4 linked regions of the Styela clava genome follow. The protein of the gene in region 3 purifies or fractionates together with the protein of the main gene of each other region. This does not show direct contact. Links are inferred from orthologs where the notes say so. Each region holds a gene or a part of one and is shown on either strand. Other genes may lie near its edges. The genes, in order: intraflagellar transport protein 81 homolog, intraflagellar transport protein 46 homolog, intraflagellar transport protein 88 homolog and intraflagellar transport protein 57 homolog.

What was found.
Region 1: the proteins of intraflagellar transport protein 88 homolog (region 3) and intraflagellar transport protein 81 homolog fractionate together in Homo sapiens (co-fractionation; 3 studies listed by BioGRID and IntAct, with this or other methods). This does not show direct contact. The link is inferred for Styela clava from reciprocal best matches to the Homo sapiens genes IFT88 and IFT81.
Region 2: the proteins of intraflagellar transport protein 88 homolog (region 3) and intraflagellar transport protein 46 homolog purify together in Homo sapiens (affinity purification with mass spectrometry; 3 studies listed by BioGRID and IntAct, with this or other methods). This does not show direct contact. The link is inferred for Styela clava from reciprocal best matches to the Homo sapiens genes IFT88 and IFT46.
Region 4: the proteins of intraflagellar transport protein 88 homolog (region 3) and intraflagellar transport protein 57 homolog purify together in Homo sapiens (affinity purification with mass spectrometry; 3 studies listed by BioGRID and IntAct, counting the BioPlex papers as one, with this or other methods). This does not show direct contact. The link is inferred for Styela clava from reciprocal best matches to the Homo sapiens genes IFT88 and IFT57.

What each region holds. Positions count from the first base shown.
Region 1 is NC_135262.1:1,880,855-1,887,970, reverse strand, and holds the start of intraflagellar transport protein 81 homolog, read left to right. Parts: upstream 1-4,096; 5' UTR 4,097-4,223; coding exon 4,224-6,203; 3' UTR 6,204-7,116. UniProt on the Homo sapiens protein: Component of the intraflagellar transport (IFT) complex B: together with IFT74, forms a tubulin-binding module that specifically mediates transport of tubulin within the cilium. Binds tubulin via its CH (calponin-homology)-like region.
Region 2 is NC_135257.1:13,329,629-13,337,154, reverse strand, and holds intraflagellar transport protein 46 homolog, read right to left. Parts: upstream 3,013-7,526; 5' UTR 2,799-3,012; coding exon 1,737-2,798; 3' UTR 381-1,736; downstream 1-380. Other genes in the region: ATPase family AAA domain-containing protein 3-like, read left to right, coding at 5,950-6,163, 6,533-6,609, 6,712-6,813. UniProt on the Homo sapiens protein: Forms part of a complex involved in intraflagellar transport (IFT), the bi-directional movement of particles required for the assembly, maintenance and functioning of primary cilia. May play a role in chondrocyte maturation and skeletogenesis.
Region 3 is NC_135264.1:14,458,022-14,465,036, forward strand, and holds the start of intraflagellar transport protein 88 homolog, read left to right. Parts: upstream 1-3,996; 5' UTR 3,997-4,113; intron 4,114-4,707; 5' UTR 4,708-4,743; coding exon 4,744-7,015. Other genes in the region: beta-hexosaminidase subunit beta-like, read right to left, coding at 83-222, 1,488-1,682. UniProt on the Homo sapiens protein: Positively regulates primary cilium biogenesis. Also involved in autophagy since it is required for trafficking of ATG16L and the expansion of the autophagic compartment.
Region 4 is NC_135253.1:4,226,681-4,233,866, forward strand, and holds the start of intraflagellar transport protein 57 homolog, read left to right. Parts: upstream 1-4,170; 5' UTR 4,171-4,450; coding exon 4,451-4,499; intron 4,500-6,348; coding exon 6,349-6,457; intron 6,458-6,756; coding exon 6,757-6,919; intron 6,920-7,019; coding exon 7,020-7,138; intron 7,139-7,186. UniProt on the Homo sapiens protein: Required for the formation of cilia. Plays an indirect role in sonic hedgehog signaling, cilia being required for all activity of the hedgehog pathway.

The sequences.
Region 1 (7,116 bases), on a different chromosome or scaffold from region 3:
TGGGCATATCCATTTTAGTAAAGACATAGCGGACATATAGCCATTTTAGTAAGAACATAGTGGACATAGCCATTTTAGTAAAGACATAGCGGACATATAGCCATTTTAGTATGGACTTAGCGGACATAGTCATTTTAGTAAAGACATAGCATACATATAGCCATTTTAGTATGGACATAGTGGGCATATCCATTTTAGTAGGGATATAGCGGGCATAGCCATTTTAGTAGGGACATAGCCATATTAGTAAAGACGTAGCCATTTTGGTAGGAACATAGCCATTTTAGTATGGACATGGCGGACATACCCATTTTAGTAGGAACATAGCGGACATAGCCATTTTAGCAGTGGCGGCGCGTCAATAGGGCCAACCGGGGCAATGCCCCGGTTGTTTTTTCGGCATAATAAAAAATATTTGAAAAATACCTCAATATCGGTTGCACACACTGTCTACACTAGCCATATTCTCCCGACATGGTTCATTTTTCGCTCGCAAAGCCTTCGCCGAACGTCGACAGGGCGACGCCGATTTTGCCCCGGTTGCTCATTGTATATCGTATTCTCTCTTTTATCTTCCACTCGCCGCGTTTGTCTCGTTTGTTTTCTGTTTCTTTTACTAAATCATCGGGGCTAGCCCCGAAATTATGACGACACAATGCCGACGTTTCTTACAACAACGTGTTGACATATTCACGCATTCCTTCTCGTTCGTTGGTTGCTTGAAGAGTTGATAGTTTCCTCGCCTTCGTTTTTGTCGCTTGTTTCGCTATTTGAATCAGTTAGAGACCTTTAGTCCATTTGCTTTCGATTTTCCACATTCCTTTTAAGCTCCTCACTTCTTTCCGGCTTCGCATTTCTTGGCCTTAGACCTCATAATGAATAAGGTTGATGCACTACTTCGCACTCCGTTTTCGCAGCTGCCGTTGGAACAAAAATTAGAGGTACCACGTCTTGGGCCTTACCAACCAAAAAAATGTTCACTGGAACAATCCCATGACGGAGGAAAGCGTCGGCGTACATTCTGCGCAAAAACTTGGTATAAAAAACACGAATGGTTGTGTTACAGCGAGGACAAAAATGCACTTTTTTGTTTTTATTGCCTACTTTTGCTACCGCCCGTGACTCACGTTGGTGTAAATTTGGTTTTAGAGATTTTAAACATCTTTCCGAGCGTGCCAGGGATCATCAATCTTCTATGGAGCATCTGGACAATGCAGTAAAATACCGAACATTCGGAAATGTTAATATTGCAGCACGGTTGGATGAAGGACGCGCGGTTTCTATTCGTCGGCACAACCAAAACGTCGAGAAAAACCGCCATGTTCTCGGTCGATTGATAGATGTTTTGAAGTTCATTGGTTGTCACGAGCTGTCCCTCCGTGGGCACGATGAACGGGCTGGCTCTTCTAATAGAGGGGTATTTTTGGATATGGTGGAATACACCGCATCCCTGATACAGTATTGAGAGATCATCTTGATGCCGCAACTGTTTCGAAAGGGACATCTAAGGATATCCAAAATGATTTGCTCGACTCAATGTATAAAATTTATTTACAGCATTTGGCTCTGGAAATTGAGAATTGCCAACTGAAATCACGTGCGTTTCCCAACTGGCTGTGATTTTTCGGTTTGTGAAAGATGGTAAACCTACCGAGAGATTTCACAGCTTTGTACCAATCGTTGATCGCACGGCTTGCGGGATATCGGCTGTACTGAAAGAAGTGTTACAGCCTTACAACGCGAAGTCAAAATTGATAGCTCAAACTTATGCAACCGATATTGAGGTATTTTTCGAATATTTTTTATTATACCGAAAAATTGCCCCGGTTGGCCCTATTGACGCGCCGCCACTGGATTTTCCTCATGCGCATTTTTTACATTGTTATGCACACCAATTTAACCTCGTTATTAAAAATATGTTTCTTGATACCCCTCTCGTCCGTATATTTTTTGCAAATGTTTCGGGGTTTTTATTCATTTTTTTCCGTTTCGCCGAAGCGCTCTGACCTCCTTCGCCAGATATGTAGCCGCCGTCTCCCAGCTTGTGCACCAACACGTTGGAACTTCCAATCACGCGTGGTGCAGGGCGTGTCCGAAATTAGGTCTGAGCTCATTGAATGTTTCAATGGCATTCAGAGCTCTCCGGTTTGGGACGAACGCTCTGTGAGGGAGGCGGCAGGTCTAAAGCGTCTGCTAGAAGATGGTGAGTTTTCATTTTTTCTCCACAATATTCTATCACGTGGATGTATTATACGGCGCATTGCAGTCAAGGCTAATGGATGGAGCGTCTGTGCAGTCGTGTATTTCAGACTTCTGCGATGCTGTATCTCGTATCCGGGAAACAATAATATACGACGACACATGGAGTGCTTCTTTACGCCGCGGGCAAACAACGCAGCGTTTGCATTTGTCTGCAAAGGAATGCTGTGACATTCTGGTGAATCAAATAGGCGATCGTCTGCGCACTGAACACCTTGCCGCGTTCTCTTTGATGAACCCCAAAAATTTTTCAAAATTGCACGTCAATTTCCCATCCATTTGTTGGCTACTGTCTCCAAATTTTACCCCATGATAAACGTGGGTAAATTGGAAAATGAATTGCGATGTATATACACCAATCAAACTTTTTTGAACATCACATCAACTTGCGCGCTCTATGGGTTCCTCATAGATAACACTCTAGTAACTCCCATTGCGGCGTCTGCAAAATTTCTGGACATCGTTTTGACGACGCCTATTTCTTCCGCCGACGCAGAGCGAACATTCAGCACGCTGAAGCGTATTAAAACGTATCTCAGAAACACAATGAAGCAAGATAGATTAAATTCCTTGGCTGTTTTATCCATTCACAGAGACGTTATTTCTGGGATGCATGACTTTAATCAGCGTGTTATTGAGCATTTTGCTTCCAAGAAACCGCGGCGTGTTGCATATATGTTCAAGCAGTAGAAGTCTAGCAGCATATATATCTATGAGTGAGCGACGCATGTCCTTATCTTTGCATTATCTTTTCTTTCTTCGTAGTAACGTTTTAAACCTTATTTTAGGTTTTGTCTGCTTTCCCGAAGTTTCTGTTAATATGTCATTGTATTTATCTGGGTAAATATTGCCTTTCCTTTTGAAAGAGGTTTCAAAAACAATGTCTATATATATTAATCCCTTGACTTGGACCGGTTTTAAAGACACTTTCTTATCGTTAAAAATTGTCGCTTTTGCCGATTGGTTGTTACCGATGGAATGGTTTTTATACTCATGAAATGATGGGAGAACTTACAGCGCTCATCCTGTCCCCGTAGATGGGGGTGACTTGGTCCCGCAGTAGCTTGCCCCGGTTGTCAAAATGACCACGCGCTGCCACTGCATTTTAGTAAACACATAGCGGACATATAGCCATTTTAGTATGGACATGGCGGACATAGCCATTTTAGTAGGGACATACCCCTTTTAGTAGGAACATATATCAAAAGGGGTGCATGCCGCACATTTGTGTTTTAGGCCAATATGGTCTTGTGCATACATCCCGTCTTCAGTATTTATAATTACTTACTCTTTTATATTGCTTTTACGAGACGAATAAACATACATACATACATAGCGAGCATAGCCATTTTAGTAAAGACATAGCGGGGACATATAGCCATTTCAGTATGAACATGGCGGACATAGCCATTTTAGTAAAGACATAGCATACATATAGCCATTTTAATATGGACATGGCGGACATAGCCATTTTAGTAGGGACATACCCATTTTAGTAGGAATATAGCGGGCATAGCCATTTTAGTGGGGACATAGCCATTTTGGTAGGAACATAGCTATTTCAGTATGAACATGGCGGACATACCCATTTTAGCCGACTTGTCTTTCAGCCTGCGGAATATTTATTTGAACTAACTTAGTTTCTAAGCGGTTCAAAAATTGCAATTTTCACGTTACTGTATTGTGAACTTGTTGCTGATTGTTTATGGTTACGGAAATAAACCAGGAAATCGATGCCCGGCGGAAACTTCCACTGTCCTTATTAACCGCTTCATTTAAGCACCGTTGTGCATCGAAGACTCTGAATTATTTATTATAGCTGTTCAGTGACCCTTGACCGCGTTCTATGTTTGTTAGCAACCTGCATTCCTGAACGTTTCTCGTTGACGCGTTCTTGTTTTTCTCAGAATAGCGTCCACAAATTGTGAAGTTTCTATGTGTAATTTTGGAAATTAACAACAAAAATGAATGATCAAGTGAAGAAAATTGTTGAAATATTGAATAAGAAGCCCTTTGAGAAGGAACTTAGTGCGATTGCGTTTCATTCGCTTGGATCTGAGCAGCTTATTCAGTTGATGAATGATATTTTAGCCCATATTGACAGCAGACATGCAGGGGATATACGGGAAGAAGCTCCGGACGCTAGAGCAGGTCGAATTTTGAATGCTTTGAAAAATCTGAAATATTCACCGCCTCCAAATGCCGATGTTTCAAGTTTTCGACAAGGAATTGTATTGGGGGAAAAGGAAGTTTATTGCCCAATTCTATTTTATCTCCTGACAAATCTGGATTCACTGAAAACTCGTGCCTACTTAGCAAAGTTTTTGGTGAAGTTACAGCTTCCTCCTGAATTTGTTCAAGATTTTTCGGATGCACAAATGCAAGAGGCTTGGCATCGGTACGAAGAACTTCAAGATCATTTTCTGAACTGCCACAAGGAGTACGTTGATCTGAAAAAACAAAGTCATGGTACCGGTGAAATCCGCAGCGATATTACCACCATGGAAGAAGAGAAAGAAAACCTTTCAAAACGTGTAACTCGACTTCGTAAAAAAGTTGAAACATTTCCAAATCTTAGCGAAGCATTATCCACTGCACAAAACATGCGTAAAGAAAAAGAACGAGCAGATGATTTGAAGTTAAAAATACAACAACAACGACGTCAGTTACAACTCAGCGAACAAAGATTACAGAACGCTAGACAGAGTCTCCAAGACGCACGACAGGCTGGCTCGAACGCAAACCCCGAATCGATAATTGGGAGAATGGAAGAAGACAACCGTGTCAATAAATATTTAATCGATGAAAAGTTACCGAAAGAAATGAAAAGTCGGAAAAAGTTTTTACAGAGTTTACAACAAGTTGCATTGGAGCCTGCGATCACGCAAAACGATCTGGACAGGATTGAATCAGATATTCAAGACATGAAAAATAATATCAACAGTCTTGTCGAACAACGAATGGTCAAAAATTACCCAGCGAAAGATAATTTGACAATGTATCGCCAACAAGCTTCGATCCTACAACATAAGAAAGAGACTGTGTCGGAATCATTGCAAGAAACGCAAGAAGAGTTTCAAAAACTGGAAAGTGATGTTAAAAAAAAGAGACAACAGCTTACTGAAATGGGGGGAGAAGTTCTCCGTGGAGAAGCGTTTAAAAATTATGTTTCAAAGTTACGTGGAAAAAGTAACAATTACAAAAAGTCCAGACAAGAGTTATCAGACCTTAGAGCAGAGCATGGTGTTCTCTCTCGCACTGAACAGCTTCTAAAACAAAAACACGAAGATGCGCAAAAAACTCTCCGCACTCGAGAACTTAAAAGTGGAGTTTCAGGTTTTCGTGATACCCAAGATGACTTGGAAAAAGTATCGTCGATGAAAAGTGAACTTGATGACGCAAAACATCGTACTTTAGATGACATGTCAGATGCCGTAAAACGTCTTAATTCAATCATCCAAGACAAGAAATCTGACCTTGCCCCGCAGATCCGTGAACTACGACCTTTACGTCAAAAGAACCAGGAATTGATGCAGGAATGGACTGAGAAAAAGGGGCATTACGATGGAGTTCTTGCCGGGCTTGAGTCAAACCGTGCTCAATTGGAACAGACAGTTACAGGATTACGAGAATTCTGCTCAGAAACGGAGAGCCGATATTTTTACTTGAAAAGCATGAATAAAATTATCGAAGTCCAATTAGAACGAGCAAATAAGGAATTACGGACGTACATGTCCGCGACTGGAGCAGATAAACAGAAATCCTATCGAGAGATTTACAATAAAAAGATACAAGAGCAAGAAAATAGAGCAAAAGCACTTCGTGAATCTCAGAAGCAAGTTCGTGAAAATCACGATCAGAATCAAAAACAAATGTTAATGTGGTCGGATCTAGATAAAATAATGCAATGTAAATTGGACTGTGCTAAAAAGATGATGAACTAGGATTATTCATCAAAATGACTGTATTTTGAGAAGATATTGGGCCCAGGGGACGGTACATTACTCCTATATAAGCTTCAAATTTTTGTATTATGGTATCGTATTTTGATGTTGAATTCAACAAATACTTTAAGACAATGAAAATAGTAAAAAGCAACATAGCCTGGGCAATATGAAAAATCTCCAGAATTGCTGATGTCCTTTGACTCTTGGTTTAAAGACCTATTATTGATTATTGAATCCCTAATTAAAGGAATGAAAGGAACTATTATTTTTACAAGAACTAGAATTCTTTTTTGATTCAGCATCAATTCATTACACTCTGCTCTGGGTATGGGGGGATTTATTAGATACCGTACACAAATTATTGTAGTACTTTGTGCATGTCAAGTTATGTTGAAATATTAGCCTTTTTGTATAATTTTATTTCAAAGCCTTTAACCTTGTGTTGCTTATCTGACTGTTGTAAAATGTCATCGGCCCAGTACAAGATTTATCCCAAAATCTTCTAATGAGCTAACATTTATAAATTGTAGACATTTCTCTGATATCTGGTTCAGAAAGTGTTTAATATTGGTAACAAAAATGAATTCGTAATTTTATTTTATTTTCACTATTACTGCAATGTGATTTAAATTTGTTCTGATCACCATGCATAAGGCTAGCAAAAGATTCGTCTTAATTTACCAAGAATCTAATTAGATGCTTATTTGGTTCCCGGTTTTGGAAATGTGTAATACCGAGTGCAAGGTTTGAATGTGAATTTTTCGGTTTTTACTCTGAATGCAATGTTGTTTCAAATTGGGGGCTAACCCTAACAAGTTCAGATTTTATTATCTAAATAGTTGGGAACCCTTCCTAGCAAAATTGTACATATTCAAACACGCCTATATTGAAGTATTTTACAAAATACAGT
Region 2 (7,526 bases), on a different chromosome or scaffold from region 3:
TATTCCCACATGTGTCGTAGGGATACAGACATTCATCATATATCATTCATTTTGGGGTTCCTAAGAGAGTATGTCTGCTCTTTGCAGAATTAGCGATGCGGCGCTCACTTTTATTACAATTGATATCAGAGCACAAGAGGTTGGTGACGGTCCTACTTAATGTGTGATTATGAGAGCAATTTCACCTAATGTTTTGGGGAAGTAGTGCAAAAATCAGATGTATGGCGACGGTCCTACTTATTATAAGCCTGATTATAGAGCAATTTCACCTAATGTTTTGGGTAAGTGGTGCAAAAATCAGATGCATGACAAGTACACAAATGGCTATCCTTAACCATTTACCCTTCCGGTGGGAGAATTAAGTATAGTTAAAAACTTAAGTTCTTTTGCCATGTATTAGAAAAATAGCATGAAAATTTTACAAATCAGAGAGTTGTCAAATTGAGTATTTATTTGTGGGCCAGAGTGGTAGAGGTCTATATAAAGATGTTCATGATGACCCAGTCCGAGCATACCGCCAACGATTTGATTGAAAACATTTTACAATTACTTTTTATCGTAATCAAGACGGACTTGTGTGACGTGCCAATAAATAGATTTAAATTAGGGCTTATAAAATGTCTCAAATATTTTACAATTAGTATCGTATATTTCAACTTAGTCGAGATACTTTGTGCGGCCACAGCAAAAAATCCGAAAGCAAATTGTGTCGGAATTAATTGTTTTCATACTCACTTTCGATAGTGACCGAACATAACAGGAAATTTTTACATTGCTGCAATTTACAGCGAAGAAAATAGTTCTCAACTATTATTTAGTATCGGGGATTTTACGTTATCCCGTTGTCGTTGATGATAATATTGTTCAGTAGGCGGTTTTAATTTAGGAGCATAACAACTGACATGAAAGATTTGAATCAGCGCTTACTAAAAAATAAAACACGATTTTCAGTCCTAATTTTTTGTCATTAGCTGATGGAAATTGGGTTCACTCATTTAATTATGACAATGACTGCGTAATAACATTTGCGTTTTTCTGAATCAACGAATGGTGGAGCAAAATAAAATTTAAAGATCACGCTTGCACAACAATTAATTTTTGTGTAGAGGGATAACTGTGGCTGAATTTAGCTTAACTATGTTGGTGGAATAAATAACACATACGCTGACGATAAACAGTCAGAAGTTATAACAAAAGTGTGTGTGTTGTTATTAACTTTGATTTTTCTGTAGAATTCAAAACATTTCACTAGACGAATAGTTGCACTTTTTTCTGTGAATACCAAGATACACCACCATTCACAGGTGTGAATACTGTATGTTTATCATGTCTTTTTTTCTTAGAAGCAAGAAAACCACTAATTTCAATACTATCACACATTCCATTTGTGCTGCTTTACAATGATATTATTATCAGAAAAGTGAATAAAATATGAGGGGAACTTTAGAATGTATTCGAAATAGCAAAGTATTTAGTTATGGCCATCCCTGGAGAGAGAGTGGTAACAGTTATATTGAATTATTATGAAAGTCTGAAGTGAGAGATCATACATAACAGTGATGAACACTATCTAAAACATATATACACTTAGAAACATTCGATACAAAAATATACTATAAATCATGACTAAGTTACTAGCGCAGTTCAATGGGACAAATTTGAATGAATGTGTCACAGTAACTGTTTCCATAAGCTGCAAATGAAAAAAGGAGCACCTGATGCAGTATTATATGACATTAATCAAAAGTCATTACATCTGGCTCGTTCACATCATGATGTTCATTGGGACTAGCAGTTTGAAAGTGCTGGGAATTCTTGAACTCCATGTAGAGGCTGAATAAAACGTGAAGTGATTGCACTTTATTGCCTGGATATATGGGAATATCTAACACGGCGCATATCATGTCAATATATTTTTGTAAATCACAATCAAGATCTGCAGATGGTAGTCGAACCTTAGAAAGAAGAGCTTCAAATTCAGGAGGCCATTCCTGCATGAGTTGTTCAATATCTGGCATGCTTTTTGTGTAGTGTACATTTTGTGGAAGCTTTGTCCTACGTAAATCTTCTATACTTTCAATCCAGGATTCCACAGATTTGGGATTGGTTTGAGCATCTTTGAGACTACGAACTTGCATTGCCTTTATACCAGACATTTTTGAGATACTCCTCAACTGCAGATCAAGAACCGTAGGGTCTGATTGCTTTGCACATGGTTCATCTAATACAGTGAGTCCAAGTAAACTGGATGAATTGTCAGGTTTTGATACTTTTATGAATGCATCAATGTCACCGACCGCAGGAATGTATTCAGGTATAAATGGTTTTAATTTGTGCTCAAGCTCAATAGTTTGAGGTGTGTATCGAGTAATGTATTGGAACAAATCTTTTATCTCCACGCTTACATTCAAACCTTCATAATCTGCAGGATCATAAGCACCTTCTAGGGCTGTTCCATTTTCTTCATCACCAGAAGACGAGTCGCTGTCCTCTGAAGAATCTCCTTCGCTCATTGTTGATGTCCCAGACCTTGCTTGAGCTTGGGGATCAGCAACATCACCAGGAGAACCATCAGTGGCATCGTTATCTCCAAATTCATTTGATATTTGATCATCATCATCTTGTGATGACATCTTATTATATTTTGGCTTCTCAGGTCCCGGTTGCAGAAGCGGTGTTGGAGTCTTTCTTGGGCTAGGGCTATATAAACTGGCAATTTCTTCAGAATCGTTCACATCCAAGCTTTCGTCGTAATGCTGATTAACAACTAGTTTAGTGTTTTCGTCATTTGAAGCCATGTACCATGTTACGAACAAATAAATGAATCAAGACTGCTGAAAGTGTTTGTTCAGACAATAGTTTAAGGTATTGAGCAGTGCAGAAAACTTGTACTTTTGACTTTTAAATTTATTAGTGAATGCAATATAGAACACCAGGGTGTTACAAATTTCATTAAACACCAAATCGGACTATAGCCTAGCCTTATATTTTAAAATAAAAAACTTGGGCAGTGAAATTCACGGTTTCATTTAGCCGTTTAGGTACCAAAACATTCATCCCTTAATTTAGCTCGATACCTATTTCACTACAAACACATGAATTTACAAGGATTTTATTATCTGGATTCAATTTGACGACTTTGGTTAATATAAATTTAATAGAAACCCTGATTTTGATAAATGTAATACCATAGGTCTACAACTGGCAAAAGATTATTGTTTATCGCACTAAAATTATAATCAGCTACAACCCAGCAGCAATCACTTATCAACGCTCTCCCACGACTAGACGAATAAACGATGACCATAGCGTATACCGTATAGTCTACACTTAAAAACCGACAAATAAAACTGCGAAATCGAGTCGACGCTCACAAAAAGTTGTTTAAATCGAGACTTCGATGTTCTGATGTTAAAGCAAGAGTCCGGGAAGTGATGAATTTTTGATTGTTACGTCACCATTGTTGCGTGATAAACAAAGAAATGGGTTGATCGCGAAACATTTACATTCATAAACCCTTTCCACTAACATTATTTTTGTCGTTTACTAGTTTCTGAGTTTACAGATTCAAAGCATTTACAATATCTGTAGAGCGACAATAGCTTCGCAGTGGTGTCTTGGAGATGGACGAGATTAAGCAATGCGTATCACTACTTAAATGTAGCTGTTGAAAATACTTATACGCTCTAATGAACTCTCGTATTAACAATCTCTCAAAATCACACGTGTGCCCTTGTCACTTTGGTACTGTGCAGGTTATGAATATGTTTGGGATAGGCCCGCTGTTATGTGTACGGCGGTACGTGGATTAATGTCTGATATGTTAGGTTTTCGTGATCGTTCATAGACCCCATTTACAGTAATGGCGTTCGTTTGTAGGAACCAATCATTTAAAATTAGCTCTTTTACTGGAATGTTTTCAAATTTTAGAGCATCGTCGCTCACAGGCAGACAGGCTTGCGCCATCGCAAATGATCGAGTGATGAATGACGCAATTGCTGCGTAATTTCAGTGTTTGGATGAATCCATCGAAAAATATGAAACTCTTTAGATGCGAACCCTAAAATGAAAAAACTTATAATTTGTCTTAAATTGAATACAAGAAGCTAATAGGCATGTATGGGTTTGGTTATTCAGATGTTAGGCAGGGGTGGGATGGGCGAGGTTTTTGAACCAGGGGCCAAAATTTACATTTTATTGAACGATATTTACAGTGATGCAAAAGTGGACAACAATGAGCCCTGTTAGCTTGTGATGAAGTTAAATTTAATGGCAATCTTGACAAATTTCTTGATTTTTATTTTATCTAAAACATCAAAAATTTGGTTTTAGTTTAGTTTTGCAGTTGTGGCAGCATCAGGTGGGCCAGATTGAATTACTCAACGGGCTGGATTTGACTCGTGGGCCGTAGTTTGCCCATGTCAGTGTTAGAGCGACTCAAAAGTAGAATCACAGTCAGTCCCTGCTTTTTCCCTCCTTTTAAGTCTGTGTGGCTTTCAAGATTGCCGTAATAGATGTTCCCCTACCAGACCAATTCTGATTACTGCGTCAGAAGCGGTGGTTTCCCATTTAAGAGATGTCATCTTAAGGATCAGTATGAAAAATGCCCATATATAAATACCAATATAAGTGAAATATGCTGTTTTTATATAGGCACAAGCATTCAATAAAACATATGAACCCAGAACCTGAGAATTTGGCATATCCTTTATAGCAGGGGTGTCAAACTCGTGGGTTTTGGAGGGCATTGCATTTTGGGAATTGTGCCGCAAACAGTTTTTGATGTTGATAATGTATATTTTTAGATAGGCCGAATATTTCCTAAATTTCAAATGCCATTTACATATTAATTTCTTGCATTTCACTATTATTGTTATTCACTGTAGGCTATTTTTTACAAAAAATTATAAATTTTTATATACAATTATCCAAAACATTTTTTAAAAATATTTTCGATAATAAAAAAATAATACATAGACTGAAAATGATTTATCTTATTATTTAGACCTAAAATTTACAAAAATACAGAATAAACCAATGTTTATTATTACATATTTTCTGGCGTTTGGCATCTCATTCGGGCCACCAGCTTACTAATATAAAGCTGAAATGATATTACAGTACCAAAATAATTGGGTCAAATGATAACTGAAAAATTTGTAAAACTATTTTCTGTAAATTGTCATTTTCTGTGTGAAAAATCAATTTCACTTTGAAATGTTTGAAAAATGTGTTATCATTCATTTAGATAAAAAAAAATTACCAAATATTACAATAATTGTTAAGTGTTCGAAGGTCGCAATGGAATCTCCCTGGGGTCGCATGCGGCCCGGGGCTGCGGGTTTGACACCCCTGCTTTACAGCATTTCAAGATCAAGATGTACATATTGAACATGGGCTATAAATAGGTGTGATTTTGTGATTAAATTCACAAAATAAATTGCATATTACAAAGTTTTGAATTTTAACTGCCTGGAAGGTTGTTGTAGTATATATCAAGTTATTCTGTTGAATTTTTTCCCATGTGCTGCTTTGAAACACACATACTGAAAAAACTTTTTTAGGAAATATTTTATCCCATTAACGCTCTTTAGCAGAGGATGGTGCAATGGCTAGAGTAGTTTAATGCAGTCCCGTTTGACCTTCCCTGGAAGTTGAAAAAAAATTTTCTATCTAAAGAACATTTTTCAAAATGTATCTAAAAAAAATAAATTCAATTTGAAAGTGAACTTTCTTCAAAATTAAGCAAATAGTCAAGTCAATCAATCATTAATATGCTGCCATATGACAACACTGGAAAGTAATTGTATTTTGATTTCATGGCAGCGGTGTATTTTTATTGCTTTGTTAAAGTGAAATATTTTCCAGGTTTCCTATAAATAGAATTCTATATTTCAAAAATTTAACTAGGAAAGTGAGGTATTGAATGTTCATTTTTAGAAATAAATTATGGACAATTCAATATTAAGCAAATTTTTTGGGAGCAAAGGTGCATCTGCAGATATTCCCGATGTAAAGTTTGATGCTGGCAGCTTACCTACACCACCAACTCCACCTGATAAAAATGACAATTCAGGACTCAAACCTGGAGATAAATGGTCAAGTTTTGATCCGACTGGCCTGGAGAGAGCAGCAAAAGCTGCCAGAGAGCTGGATGCATCTTGTATGAGTTTCATTTATGACATAAATTATAATTTATTAATACAGTAATATAACTAATCAGTATTTGTGTCAGCCCATATGAAATATTAGTTGGATTGGTTCTTAGTTGGATTAAGTGTTCTACTATTGTACTCTTCAGTCCAATTTGGTTTTTAATGATGAACTAAATTCCTTCGAAAATAAAATTAGGAATCATTACTTCACAAAAAATAGCATTAATCATGACATTGAAGCAATTATTGCTCTTCTATTTTGTACATTTGTTTTTGTCGTTTTATTTATTTAGTGTTCAAGACAGTTAATCCAAAGTTATAATATCCAAATGAGTTGTCATTTATGCATTTATGGCAACGATAATTCTTTTGTTCAGCTCATGCCAAAGATGCGTTGGAACTCTCGAAACATCAAGAACACACAAAACAAATTGAATTTCAAGCAAAAGTCAAGGTATTCAAATATTGTCATTTTATTTTTAAATATGGTTGACTCAAAGATGTAAATTTCTTATTGTCTTATTGTACAGTGATCAAATATATCATTTTTTTCTAGGAATATGAAACACATGTTGAACAATTGAAAATTGAACAAATCAGACAACAATCTGAGGAAAAAAGAAATAACTTACAGCAAGATGCAAAATTAAAGAAAGAGGTCAGGTTTGAGTAGACTTGCATAATTTGTTGAAGAGCCTGGCTGTAAACGTGTCAACTCTTTTTAATTTATGTAGATAATACCTTTGATATACTTAAAACAGATAAAATCATAAATCAATTTTAATATATTATACTATATTGAGTGAAATAAGTATATTGAAATACTCGATATGTTTTGATTGTCAGGCTCGTGTTAAATCGTATGACATTCTGTCAAACTGTGTATTTGATTTAGATCTGTGTATACATTACTTTCATTTCATCTAAACAAATAAAATGTCCCTTAACAAGTTTATTACATGTTTAAATTTAAAATTTTCATAAACTTCTCATAACAACATAATCATAGAGTCTTGGGACCTTTTCTATTTTACTATTTGGGCCTCACCTAAAAACATTGCTGGCCTAACGGTTGAAGCTTTGGCCCCAAAACTATGTTGGCATCGCGGATTAAATCTTGAGTTCCCTTGCCCGAGCACCCTCTCCCGAGATGTATTAAACTGGATTGGCAATCTCAAACCGGAAAGATTCCTATTCTTTCAAACAATGGTAGCTTTTTACCTAGCAGAGACCAATTGTGCAGAGCCTTGCTCAGAGTGAGGGACTTAATAAAAACGAACTTAAAAAAATGAGACATATTCACATAATAATTTTTGAACTTAAAAGAATAGTTGTTTTAATTCTGTACAATGTACATGTTGGTTCGTGAGA
Region 3 (7,015 bases):
GCATTTGCAATTCAGTTATTAACTCTTCCAAACACAAAATTTCAAACTTTCAGCCTTTTTCATCATAAAAGGATCAACCTACTGAAATAAATGTAGTTTAGTGTTCACTGCATATTTTCTGATAATTTCTTGATATCTTTTGAAGGCTTCAGTAATAATCGGACAAACTTTACTTGAGGGATTCAAGGTGAACACGAAGTTTCCAACTTCTACCGGATAAACCTAAAATATATCGTAAAATTTAGATGAAAGATATTAAAATTCAACTTTGCCAAAGGATTAGGTTTTCATGAAATAAGATATTATAGATATTTAAAAAAAGTTAAAATACATTTTTTCCATAATTTTAATTTTAACTCTGAAATGACGGTCTTACTACTTACTGAATACAGCGCGAAACACCGCAAAGAGCGCGAAACACCGCAAAAGAGCGCGAAACAGCGCAAAACAGAGGGAAACAGCGCAAAATAGTGCGAAAGAGCGCAAAACCGTATGTGCACCAAGATGGCGCACAACCTGAAAATAGTATGTGTGTGTGTGTGTGTAGCGGATTCAGGTTGTGCGACATATTGCTGCACATACTTCTGGAGCACCAAAAAGGTAGATAAAATTTCGCATGATGACCTATAATCCGGTACATAACCTTGTAAATATACCGGAAATAGCGCCATAAAACCATGGCGAGAGGCGCCGTGGTTCTTACATGGCAGGAGGTGGTAATGACTGCGTCTCCTGTTTTGCGCTGGTTTCCTTCTGTTTCGCGCTGTTTTCCTCTGTTTTGCGCTGTTTTGCGCTCTTTGCGGTGTTTCGCGCTGTATTCAGTAAGTAGTAAGACCCCTGAAATGATTTAGAATATTTGAACAACTGGCATTTCAGCAAATATGCCTGCGCAGAACCTTGTTCGATTGAAATACTGTTGACACCGTATAAAATAATCACGCTTCATACAACTTCAAGATTCATACAACTTAAAAAACAGGTGTTTTTATCCTGTATTATAAAGTATTTTCAATACTAAGCATGGGGTGAAGAATTATGATTTGGTATGTCTTTTAAACATGTCAAGAGTGAATATAGCTAACCAGTTAAGCACCAGACCATAATTCATTCTCATCAACTGTGTTTTGCAAAAAACCTAAATGGTAGGGTGAACTTTTTTTGCTCCGATGAATCACATTGTTTACTTTTTTTGAGAAATAGTGACATTTTCAGATTTAGTTCTTTTAGTCTGTTGCGCAGTACCAGTTTACTGATTTTGTGGTGATATGGAGGCACCGAACTGTCTCATGACATTGGGGTTTGCACTCCCTCTCTCATGTTTAAACTCTTTAATGTGAGGGCTATTCTTGAAATCGGAGAACTGTGTTGTGCTGGTACTTTTCGTACTAATCACGGAGGAGAAAAATGATAATTCAGTGTGCCATTGAATTCGAACCTCTGAATCAACAAGCCATGCTAGATTCAAAATTAAAATACACAGAACTTACCGCTGTATGGATTGTCATCTGCTGAGGTTTTGGCCAAGTACTCCCTGGAGCAGTGTTGCCAGATAAAGGAGGAGGAAACTTCAATTGTGCACCGAGAGAATGAGTTTGAAACATGTGTTTTCTGTCATGTGCTGTGACAAAAACTACACAGAAAAGTAGCAATGACACCTTGATATATCCCATCTTCAAACACATAAAATTAACTTATGGTGAACTAAGGCACTAACTGAAAATAATTGGACAAATGATTAGAACCTTGTCCTGACAAAAAAATGGGTCTCAATGGGTATTTTCGTACCTGACATACTTTTAGTGGGTGTAGCATAACGATAAGGTGGGGGTTAGGATTGACATATGCAAAAATTGTTGGTACTAAACTATACCAGACCCGAAATATCATAGTAACTACTTATATTTACATATTTATCCCGGGGGAGAGGAAAGTGAATAAGACGGCTTATCCATATGGCGAACCACGGCCTCTCGTCCGGTTACCATTCCAAGTCGGGTATGGGATTAGTTATATTGTTTGTTTTTCGGAAGCATGGTAGTGGAGGAAGCCGTAACCGACCAGCGGTTATGTGAACCACCCAACGACGACGAGGAGTCCAGCAATCCTCTCGCACATAACCATCCCTGCATGGGATTCGAACCTGCAAACCCACGCAGAGTAATTATAGGTGCGTTGGCGAGCGTATTCCTAATGCTTAGCCCTTTGCCACACCGCCGCTTATATTTACTTAACGTTATATTTAAAAGGCCGAAATGAGATAAATAAATATTTCAGTATTTGAAATAATATTTGTAACTAAAAAGTACAAAACATTCATTCAAGTAATACAGTAACATAATCGAAATTACATCAAATTTGTTTCAAACATATTGAACAAAGCGGTAATGCGGGAATATGTGAAAATTGCGAACTGTTTACTAAACCCTGAAACAGTGAAACGGAACCTGATGATTGGCTGATTGCGGTAACCCAAAGAAGCACCAAAACATAAATAACTGTTACGTCACGTGATTACACAACATAAAACGGATTAATCAATATTGCACATAAAAACGACTCTATTTGCTGAATTGAATTAAAACAATTTTAGCCACAAATTTCCCAGAACACAATCTCAAAATCCCGATATTTCTATCGCCCTCTGACCTTACATTTTTTTATCGACACACGATGGCAGCACAATTCATCAATTGTGTACTATTGGCTGCCCGCTTCTTTATATATAGATGCCGGATCCAGAAACGAAAACCAATTTTTGATGTTTTTTATAAATTTATTCGTGATATTCGTGACAACGAGAAATATATAGCAATGAAAAATAGTAAAATCCTGATACACAAAAGAAAGTGGCATTTATTTATATAATAGTCGATCAAGTGACTTTTTGCTATTTAATTACATATTATTGTTTTTCTTTCCTTAAATACATAAAATGTGATATGTTGCTGTTTTCTTATAACATTATTAGACTACAATTGCAAACATTGTGAGAAATTACCTTTTATAACTGTATTGCTGAATTAAAAATTGTTATTTCAATATTATTCTATTTGCTATATGATTGCCCTTATATGGTATATACCTAAAATGTGAGATTTTTTTTTGCTAAATGATTGCCCCTGTATGGTATATACATATAATGTCAGATTTTCTCAGTTTTCTAATAACATAATTAGATTGCGAATGCAAACATTGTGATACTTTTCATGACTGTATTACTGATATTGTTTATTTCAATATAATTTTATTTAGTAATTGATTGTATAGTATATAGATAAAATGTGAAATTTCTCCAATCTTCTGTTCACTCATACCATACTATTAGATTACAATTTCAAACAGTGTGAAATATTACTTTTTATGAATGTATTATTTATCTTCTAATATTGATTAATTCAATATTATTTTATTTTATGAAAATCTAATAATAAAAAAAAAAAAAAAAAAAAAAAAAAGAAAAGGGTTCATAATAGCTCTGGGTTCATGAGTAATCACATTTTCAGTCCACCCCTACAACAAGACTTTTTTTTTAAATTCTACCCTACCCTTCTTATTGTAAAGTTTTTGAAACGAGGATTTTTTTGCTCGGTGACCAATATACAATGCTTCTCCCTTGACAGCTACCTTTTTTTGGCAAGGCCTTGATATATTTTGTTCTTTCTAACCGGTTGTCTATTTTTTTGCTTGGCACTTCGGAAATATTTTTACATTGCTAAATTTTGGAAAAAGTAATATTTACTGGATAAATATTAGGTACTGTAGCTTTTCGTTCGTTATCTATGACTTTTGTTTCGTTCTTATGAATAATTACCATGATCATTTTCAATTTTGTATAAGTTGTTAATATCAGAAAACTTGCAAAAATCAAACGCCCCAACATTTTAGGAATGTAACCATTCAATGAGCATGTATATATGCTCATTGAACCATTCTACCAGAACACACAGCAACCGCTATAAATACGGAATACATAGAAACATGTAGCCATCTAGTGTTGAAAGGTTTTCTTCACAAATACTGAAATACAACACAGTAAACAACTGTACGGAGATAATATTTGGTTTTTCAAGTTTTCTATTCCGATATAACTCGCTAAAAATCTGTAGAATACTGGTAAGTTGCTAAATTAATTTTTTTTGTTCGATATTATAACTTTAATAGTCTCCAACTATAAAAGTGTAGCTACGTTGTTCAGTTATTAGGCAGTTAGGATGGGATAGGATTTACATATTTCTGTACCGGTATTTATCCCGGGGGAGAAGAAGTTCCAGTGTTTATGCCACATAATTTACTAAATGTTTTTTTTTGCGACCAGAAGTTTGCTATATTTATACAATTTGGCAAAAATTTTAAACAGGTATCCATAATTTTGTATTGAAGTTAATAGGTATATCAAAATACTAAGATTTTGTGGTGTAATCCGACTATGTGCCAAATTTTAATATAAATTGCAATTATGTTGCCCTGTAAAAATGTCTGATTTTACAATTTATAGTAATTTTGATTATCGGAATTAAACAGATAATTAAAAGAAGATTTTCCAGATAGAAATATTTTTACAATGTGTTTAAACTCTATTCTTTGAGTGTCTGATTTTTATTGGACACCATTCCTGCATTCAGCCATTGGACATCTGTTTTTTAGTGATTTTTAACAATACAAAATGATGACAAAATTTTGATTTCCCATGTTCATTTTACATTTCAGATTTAAATTACAATTGTTTGACGCTGGACATCGAAAATGAGTTTCAATTTAGATAATCTTCGACTCGCGACGGAAGAAGAAAATGATGACTTGTATTCTGGATTCAACGAATATAATCCTATGTATGACACAGCAAATCTGGCAGAGGATGAAGGTTTTATGAACGCTGTAAAAACGAGTCACGGACGACGACCTCCAATGACGGCACTACGAGGCGCGAATCCAGTCTTAGGTCGAAATGCCATTCCTCCACCTTCATCATTTGGTCGTCCGGTTACGGGTGCCGTTGCTGATGGGAGCGCTCGACCTATGACCTCCGTCGCCGGAGCAGGTTTCTCATCTAATTTAGGTAAAGGTGCTGCTTTTGATCCATTAAGCCAGGCAGGAAAAGATAGACCAGGTGGCATTGCCCCTCCTCTTGACCCACTATCAGAAAATGGACCAGAAGAAAAAGTAAAAGCACTCGAAAAGCGAGTTGGAGAACTAATTGAGGAAAGCGTTGTTGCACAAAGTAAAGGGAACCTCACCCTTGCACTTGACAAAGCGAAAGATGCCGGTCGTAAAGAGCGAGCGCTCGTACGACAAAGAGAGCAAAGCGGTCTGAGCGAGAACATAAATCTTGACTTAACATATTCTGTTCTATTCAATCTTGCGGTCCAATACGAAGCAAACGAAATGTTCCCTGAAGCTTTGAATACTTACAACGTAGTTGTAAAAAATAAAATGTTCAGCAATGCTGGTCGCCTCAAAGTCAACATGGGAAATATATATTTCAACCAAGGGCAATATATGAAGGCGATTAAATTCTATCGCATGGCTCTTGATCAGGTTCCAAACACTCATAAAGATATGAGAATTCATATCATGCAAAATATTGGAGCTGTGTTTTTAAAAATGGGGCAATACAATGAAGCAGCGACGTCGTATGAACATATTATGACTGAAAAGCCGAACTTCCGAACAGGTTTCAATTTGATTCTCTGTTATTTTGCGCTCGGTGATAGTGACAAGATGAAAAAAGCTTTTCAGAAATTGCTTTCTGTTAATTTAGGAATTGATGATGAAGATAAATACACAACAAACCCAGAAAATACGCAAGAGAGCGTGTATTTGGATGCTATCAAAAATGATTTGCTTCGCCAAGCTGAACGCAAGCAAAGATCAACAGCTGAATGGACCATTTTAAGCGCTGCAAAAGTCATCGCACCTGCTGTTGAAAATACCTTCGCTGCTGGATTTGATTGGTGTATTGACCAAGTTAAAAACTCACCATGCCTTGACCTGGCGAATGATCTAGAAATTCACAAAGCTCTAATGTATTTGAAGGAGAGAGATTTTCCTCAAGCTGTTCAGATTCTAAAAACATTCGAGAAAAAGGAAACGCAGGTCAAATGTCAAGCTGCGACTAATCTTTCATTTATTTATTATTTGCAAGGAAACCTTGCTGATGCGCGGAGATACGCAGACATTGCTACGAAGGCAGACCGATTCAATGCTCCTTCGTTAACAAACATGGCGAACTGCCTTCTTTCTGAAGGAGACGTAAGCGGAGCAGAAACGCTATACAAAGAGGCTTTAGAGAACGATTCATCGTGTCATGAAGCTTTATTCAATCTTGGACTTTTGTATAAACAGCGACAACGTCTGGACGAATCTCTCGACTGCTTTTTGAAATTACACAACATAATGCGACATGATTCTCAAGTCATGTATCATATTGCGTCATTATATGAGCATATGGAAGATTGGAGCCAGGCTCAAGAATGGTTGATGCAGTGTGTCGGAATCGCATCCACGGATCCAAGCATTTTATCACACCTTGCAAAGATTTGTGAAAAGGATGACACAAATGCTGATTTGTCGCAGGCGTTTCAATATCGTTACGATGCGTATCGACTATTTCCTGCAGATATTGAAACTCTCGATTGGCTGGGGGGTTATTATATTCAATCTCAATTTTATGAAAAAGCTGTGAGGTATTACAGTCGAGCTGCTGTAATACAACCTAAAGAAGTAAAATGGCAATTAATGGTTGCGAGCTGTTACCGACGAAGCGGAAATTACCAACTTGCATTTGAAAAATACAAATCGATTCACAACCAATTTCCCGACAATGTAGAGTGTTTGAAATTCATCAACCGGTTATGCGTTGACCTCGGACTCCAAAACGAGCTTCAAGAATATGCAAATAAGTTGAAAAAAGCAGAAAAATCGAAAGAAATGAGAGAACAACGGGCAAGCAGTGGTGGCCGTAGAGGAGGAAGCGGTAGAGGGGATAGAACTCCCGCGAGTGCAAATAGTTCAGATG
Region 4 (7,186 bases), on a different chromosome or scaffold from region 3:
ATCAATATTGGACAAAGATTTAGCAGTTTTACACGAGCTATAAATTTATTTAAAAGATATAGATTTCCGAATATATTGGAAATATTTACAAAAGATGGCTCTTGTGGGAATTGCAGGAATACTTAGAAGGGTTCTTGAAACCTGTGGACGCGGTCCCAATTGTAAGAAAATGCACATCAGTTGAAAAATTGTGAATAACTTGAAAATAATAAGTGTTACGGTATTCACATTTATTCATTTTCATTATAATCCATTCATGCAACTTCTGTTTAATGTAAAAAATAAAATATGATTGGAGCGAATATATTGACCTTTTAGAATGCTAATACAAGTATAATGTTAAAAGGAGAATTAGAAAATTTCCTTTAGCATGAAGAAATGGGGAGAAATCGAGACAGCAATTTTGTTTTACCAATCCCGTGTATCTCCGGAAATTTGGTCCCGGTGTTGAATTCGCCGACACGCTTGACTTGGTGCTGACAGATTATTATTGCTTCGAAAATCATCGTGCGACTTCCTCCGTTTTTCTGTATTCTGACGGCGCTGTCTCACGTCAAGGTTAAGTGAGTGACTTATAAACATTCAAGTTAGTTGTGCACATGAAATATTACACGATATACTTGACTATAGAACTGATAGAATGCAGATTACAAAACAAAATAGAGGAACAATCAATTGAGTGGGAAGGCCCTAGGACCGGTTCAGCACTCGAAAGCACATTGGCAGTAAGATTTTAAATTCACTTTAAAGCTCCCATGAGTAGATGTAGTCTAGTAGAGAGCCGCTTCGTGCTACGATTGTTCAGCATAAAAAAAGAGTAAGTTGTAAATGTTCTTATAGGTACCCAGTAATGATTTGTCAAGGAATGTAAATTTTGATAAGAGATATGTGTATTTTCGGATCATAAAAAAGTTGCAGTGTGAGGATTTATGCTGTGTGATCAAAGCAGTGAACAAGAATATAAATTGACTGACTGATGGGTGATTGAAATTGTGACGTCTGTATGAAAAACATAAATTAAACACACATATTTTAACTTCAATTAATTAGTGTTTTATGATGGAGTTCTACTGATCTTGATAATTTTTTCCCAGACTCATTCTGTCATTGTATACGAAGTCACCAGCTGCATATTACAAGCTAAGAGGTGTTTTACGTTTGTCATGATAACCCATTTTGCTTGATTTCAGGCTGGTACTAATAACTTTTTTCACATAAATTGGATATCTATTATTGCTATTATCTAAACATGGCTTCAACATATATATATATATATATTTATAATTTTAGATGTGCCAAAAAGTTTTGAATTATTTTGTCGAGTGTTTTTGAATTATTGATTTGTGATCAATAGCAATAACTTTTTTGCTACTGCAAAATCCACCACATTCATTGAATGCATTAATATTTCTCCTGGAACCGTTACATTTTATTAATTCCAATTTGTTTTGTGGGGTATTCACATTTTTGTTTCAAATAATATTTTGTCAAAGTGGCTGTTATACTTATATATAAACACATACATGCTTAGATGGTAGACAAGGTTCGATCGTTGTGGGCAATTTATTCCAAAATATCGTAACTAAAATATAAGTTTTTGCAGACGTCTCGAAACTCACTTTTGAAGAATGATTTGCTGTAATCAGATGGGGTTTTGGCATGGAAACACATCTAGACGGAATTTATGAAGATATGTCTAAAAAAACATTTGAAACAGCCATGTAAACTAATAGACCAACATTTTTAACTCAATAGCTCGATAAAAATGTCTGTTAAATATTAAGCACAGGTATAGCACAAAGAATTGTTTTGGGTATTAATTCATTTGTATTATTCTATCTCCTATTGAGCAATTAAATACTTGTATCATGATTATTATTTCTGAAATTACCAACAGTATTCATGTCATTAATAACAGATGAACTGGGGAAATTTTTCTTTGTAGGTTTTTTCCTGCATCTGTTGCTAGGATTTCGGAGATGTCTGAATTTGAAGCAACGCCAAGTTTTGCAAATAGCAAAATATGCATTAGATCAGCTTAAATTTCATTAATTATTTTACACACTGAAAGTCTACAACAGGTGATTATCTCAAGGATTTTTTAACAAAATAAATGCTATACAGCTACATGCAACACATTCTGTAGTCATATTTAAAAAACAACAACATTTCATTGCTTCTCCAGCGTATGAAGGGCTCCAAATACTGGTACCTTCAACATGTGATATACCACATTGGACCAAACATCTGTCAGACCCCCTTTTAAGTGTAAGATAAAAGTCTTCTAAATCAGTGGTTCTCAACCGCCGGTCCGCGGCAACCTTGCTGCCGGTTCGCCAAATATTTTTTAACATTAATATATTATAAGCAAATTGCAAAAATATTTCCTAAAACAAAGATCTTCAAAATAAGGACAAATTCTAAAAATAAGGACGTTGTGGCAGCCCTGATTATAGGTCAAGTGGAGAAAAAACTACTGTGAAAGCTACAATACTTGAGATGGAGTGAGACCAAAATGCTGTGCTACCAAGCGTTTTTTTTATATAAAGTGCAAAGTATTCATTTTCGTCACTACTTTACCTACATCTGACTGACATTTTTTGCAATGCATCGCATTTTTGATGCCTTGCTTTCTTTCGACAAGGAAGTTGTCACATCATCCTGGTCATTTGCAAGACAGACTTTGTCTTCATTTTCACAATTATTTATTCATTTTTATCAAATTTCTTCGTCCTTCAGCAAATATTTCGATCAGTCATCAATGAACAGGGTAGTTTTTTTATGCAGGAGCGTCGTCGTCGTTAAGCATCTTGTCTGAACAAAACCAACCGTGACGCCCGCCACTTGGAGGTGCAACATCGCCTTTGTTTGTTTATTATAGGGCGAGCGGAGTTGGACATCTAGTAGTAGTATATATTTACGGTTTTACATAAGGACTTGAATTCACTGATGACTATGGTGAAATCTACATGGCGAATACAACAGTGGAACACTATGGATTGTTTGGAAATATTAGGTGAAACATTGGATAACTGAAATTGCCGTTGATGCATATTCTTGTTGGACACGTCAGTGTACATAACGATCGTTTCAATATTATGTTGTTGTTCTTGTTTTTCTTTCGTCGTGATAAAATCGCTTTTTTCTTCGAATACTGGACCTATTGCTTTGAAATTTTCAGTGATTAAAGATTGATTTTTTTCGCCAGAAGGCTATTACTTTTACTTATTTCAAAAATTTCTGTGGACTTCAAGAGATTCGTTTTTTATGCGTCAGAATAAAGAAATAGCGACACCTTTTGACGGGTCCATATATTTGAGCATAGCTCTCTTGTTTTTGTATGTAATTATGTGTGATGTTTATTTATCATTATTGTCTTTATTTTTTTTAATAAACGATTGAATCCTTAATCAGAAAAATAAAAAAATGAATGAATAACCAATCCGAATCTTGGGTCTCCTGATCTGATGAACCATAGTACAACAACTAAACTGTGATAATAGCGCGCAAAGAAAATGTGAGGGGCATGGAGGACGCTTGATTATATTTCAGTTATGTGACCACGTCCAAATTGATTGAACCATGATTTATTATAATATTGATGGTAAAATGTACTGTGACAATAACTGTAGAAAGAAGTTTTAGTTTTGGCAGGTTGTATGCATGGTTAGGCCTACCATACGTCCCGCTTTAGGCGGGACGGTCTCGCTTTTCAGCGTTTTGTCCCGCCGTCCCGACAGGTCAGCCAAAAGTCCCGCTTTTGCGTCCAGCATGTTACACGAACATGTTCTTGTTACCGTTGTTGCTGTGTAGCGAGGCGCTAGCCTACTTACTGAAGGTGAATGCGTTTGTTTCCCGCTGATTCCCATTGGTAGCAGACGTATCGCATGTAAAACCAATACTAATTACTTAGTCCAAATTCGAATTATTTGGACAGCGAATATGCGCATGAAATTTCGATAACAATATGTTCAATAAAGCCAGCCGGGACAGCTTTGAAAGTAGGAATGTTTAGGCCTATGTAGTAAAATCGAAAAATGTAAAGTTACAAAATCACAGCTAGGGGGTCATTGTTTTTTGAGGCGTCCCGATTTGAAGTCACAAAAATATGGTAACCCTATGCATGATAAGGCGCTCAAATCTTTTCTCGGTTACGCCGAAATGTCCATTTAATATATAAAATTGACTGTCAATACTTTTACTGTCAATTAGTTAAATATTTTGAATTGAAATGGTGATTTTGAACTTGAATGAATTCTGAGGTTGAAGGTCAGAAAAACATTCACGGGCCATCTAACCGCTACATTTAGCATCAAAACTAACTAAGTGCCAAGTTTTTTCTGTCCAATACGGCTGCCAGAACGAAGTGGGCTTCTCGTACATTTCCTCGTCTTCGGTGATCAAATACCTCTCATATTCAAGGGCTGTTTGGGTACACTGTGGCAGTATAATGACGGATGACGTTAGAAGAGGCGGAGAAGATGAAGACCGTGGCCCAGGTACGGTACGGTACCGGTATGATTTGTGTGTTGTTTTCACTTGTCAGCTTGTCGTAGGTATGTTAAAAAAAATTTGAAGTCAATCGGATTTACCGTATTTCTCGGCGAATGAGTCTACCCGGTCAATAAGACGAGGACCGTTTTTAAGACTAAAAAAATGGGTTTTTACATATACCGGTACCGGTAACCTGCCAATAAGTCGGGGTTGTAAAATCGCATCAACATCGGAATCTCAAATTACCATGCAATGCCCTTTGAGCGGTCACCGCGTTTGCGCATTGGTTAAAATAGCCTACCGGTATAACGACGTTTTCTTGTAGCGTAATATTCAATCCATAATAACTACGGGAATTTAAACTCTTTAAATTTTCATCTAATTGTGTTCAACTCACGATTTTTTCCACCATAAAAGAACATTCCCTAATACATAATAAGGCGACACCAAACAAATTAAAATTATTATACTCGCCTAATAAGACGACCCCCCCCCCAAATCTGGCCGAAAATTTGGGTCTAGAAAAGCAACTTATTTGCCGAAAAATTCGGTAAATAATAACTGCGTCAGTGGATGGATCTAAGTCAAAATAAGAAAACAATACCAAGTTTGCGAAAAACGGTCAAGAATTAACGGAGATATCGGCATTTTAGTACCGCCCGATAGGCCAATTTTTCTCCATAAGGTTAGCATTACGCTGGCTCAAAAACTGTGACCGCAAGAATGTGAGACCGATAAATAACAATTTCTATCTTCGCTATTTTGGAAGGTAATCAAATGAAATTTGGAACGAAAAGATAACGTGAAAATATAAACCAAATAAAACAACTTTACAAATTCTTTTCAATGAAATAACAGTCTTTTTTAATTAATTATGTACAAGAAAATGTCTTAATTTCTCGAAGTCAATAAACTGATTTAAAGCTTCCATATCTGACTGTATTCACTGAACAATTTAAAATCTACCTGCACGTAAGATATTTACTGTGTTTACGAAAACTCAGAACGAGAAAATTCAGCGCCCGAGATGATGTCGACAATTCGGTCGATAACTATCTGCGAGTTGACAGACTCACGCTAAGATAGTATTAAACGTGTCTTGAAATATTTCGTAGCGTTTTCGAAAAACGCTTGCAAATTCTGTTTTTTTTAGAGAATTTTATTTATTGTGGAAAACATTCTATATTAATCTCTAATCTCTCGATATGCGTCACATCTATGAAATATCAAGGCTCTTTCATAATTTAATTCTGGCAACGGTCAATGAGGCCATCGGCGGATTGTCGCAAATTCAAAGTCGGAGGTGGGTATGTTAAATGAACAGTGGTTCGTTCCGGCTAATAATTAACGATGTTCGGATCGAGCAAACTTCACAAAAATTGGCAAGTTTCAAGTTAAGAAAGAGACACGCGTGTCATTATAGATTTTATAGGTGTCATTAGACGGGATCATTAATTTGTAGCACGTTTAAGTTGGAAGGTATTTTTAAAAGATTCGCATGATAGGAAATATTTGCGCTAATGGAAAAATTCAAAAACAAGGTCATAGTCGTGTTTTTTATCTAATTTATGTCAAAATTTCATGGAAACACTAACTATCGCTGGCAATCCGTAGCCGTTTTTATATGCGGTACTCAAGTATGGCGGTAACGGTACCTAGCAGAAGTGATGCGTACATTTTTTATTGCGAAAATGTGCGTTTTGTAACATTCCTACTTGTCGGTCTGTAGATGTGGGTAGTACGGTAACTTTACTTTATTAGTCATGTTGGGTATAAATTTTTGGTTAAGGGTCCATGTACAAAATCCTGAATTTGAATAATCTCGATTTTATCTAATTACATTCCAATTAACAGGTGCTTCATATCAAGTATTTGAAGTGATGTCAGATTTGCTGGATAAGCTGAAATTGTTAAATTTTGAGGAAAATTTCATGAGGCCAAACAACATGAAACCTCTAACAAGGTATTATCAGCTATGAAATGGGTGGGGACTTTCAGAAAATCTTTGGTCAATACTCAAAGGGTTTTTTGACGGTGAAAATAAAAGATTGTGATAATTGTAATCTCGTATTGCAATTTATAAAGTGGGTCAAAAATTTCAGTTTGTAATTTCGCTTCACACATACTTTTGTATAATATTTACAATGATGCTAACAGCAGTCACAAAAATGATTGTACATTTGCTGTTCGAACCATATTTCAGTTTTTGAATACAAGCCATCTGTCTCTTTTTATTTATGACATCTTTTGGTTTGCTCACAGACATTATTTTGCGGTCCCTACAAATCCTGGTGAACAGTTTCATGCATTCACTTCAATTTCTGCCTGGCTTCTTAACATCATTGGTCGTCCATTTGACATGCCACAAGAATTTGATGATCCCAATGCTACTATATCAAGTATATTGGAAGAAGTAAAACGAATGGTATGTATAACAATTTTTTAAATCATAATTAAACATTTTCAATCGTGGAGAGACTAAATATTGTATTTGTGATTTTTTATTCTTTCTTGAAAATTTTCAGGGAGTCGCGATTGATTTTCCACCATCCAAGTTGAAGCAAGGATGTGGAGAATATGTTTGTTATATCCTTGATCGTTTGACTGAAGAAGCATTGAGGTCAAGTAATTTCCAGTGGGGAAGGTAAATATTGTCATCTAGATAATTTCCATTTATTCAGGTGTATCCTAT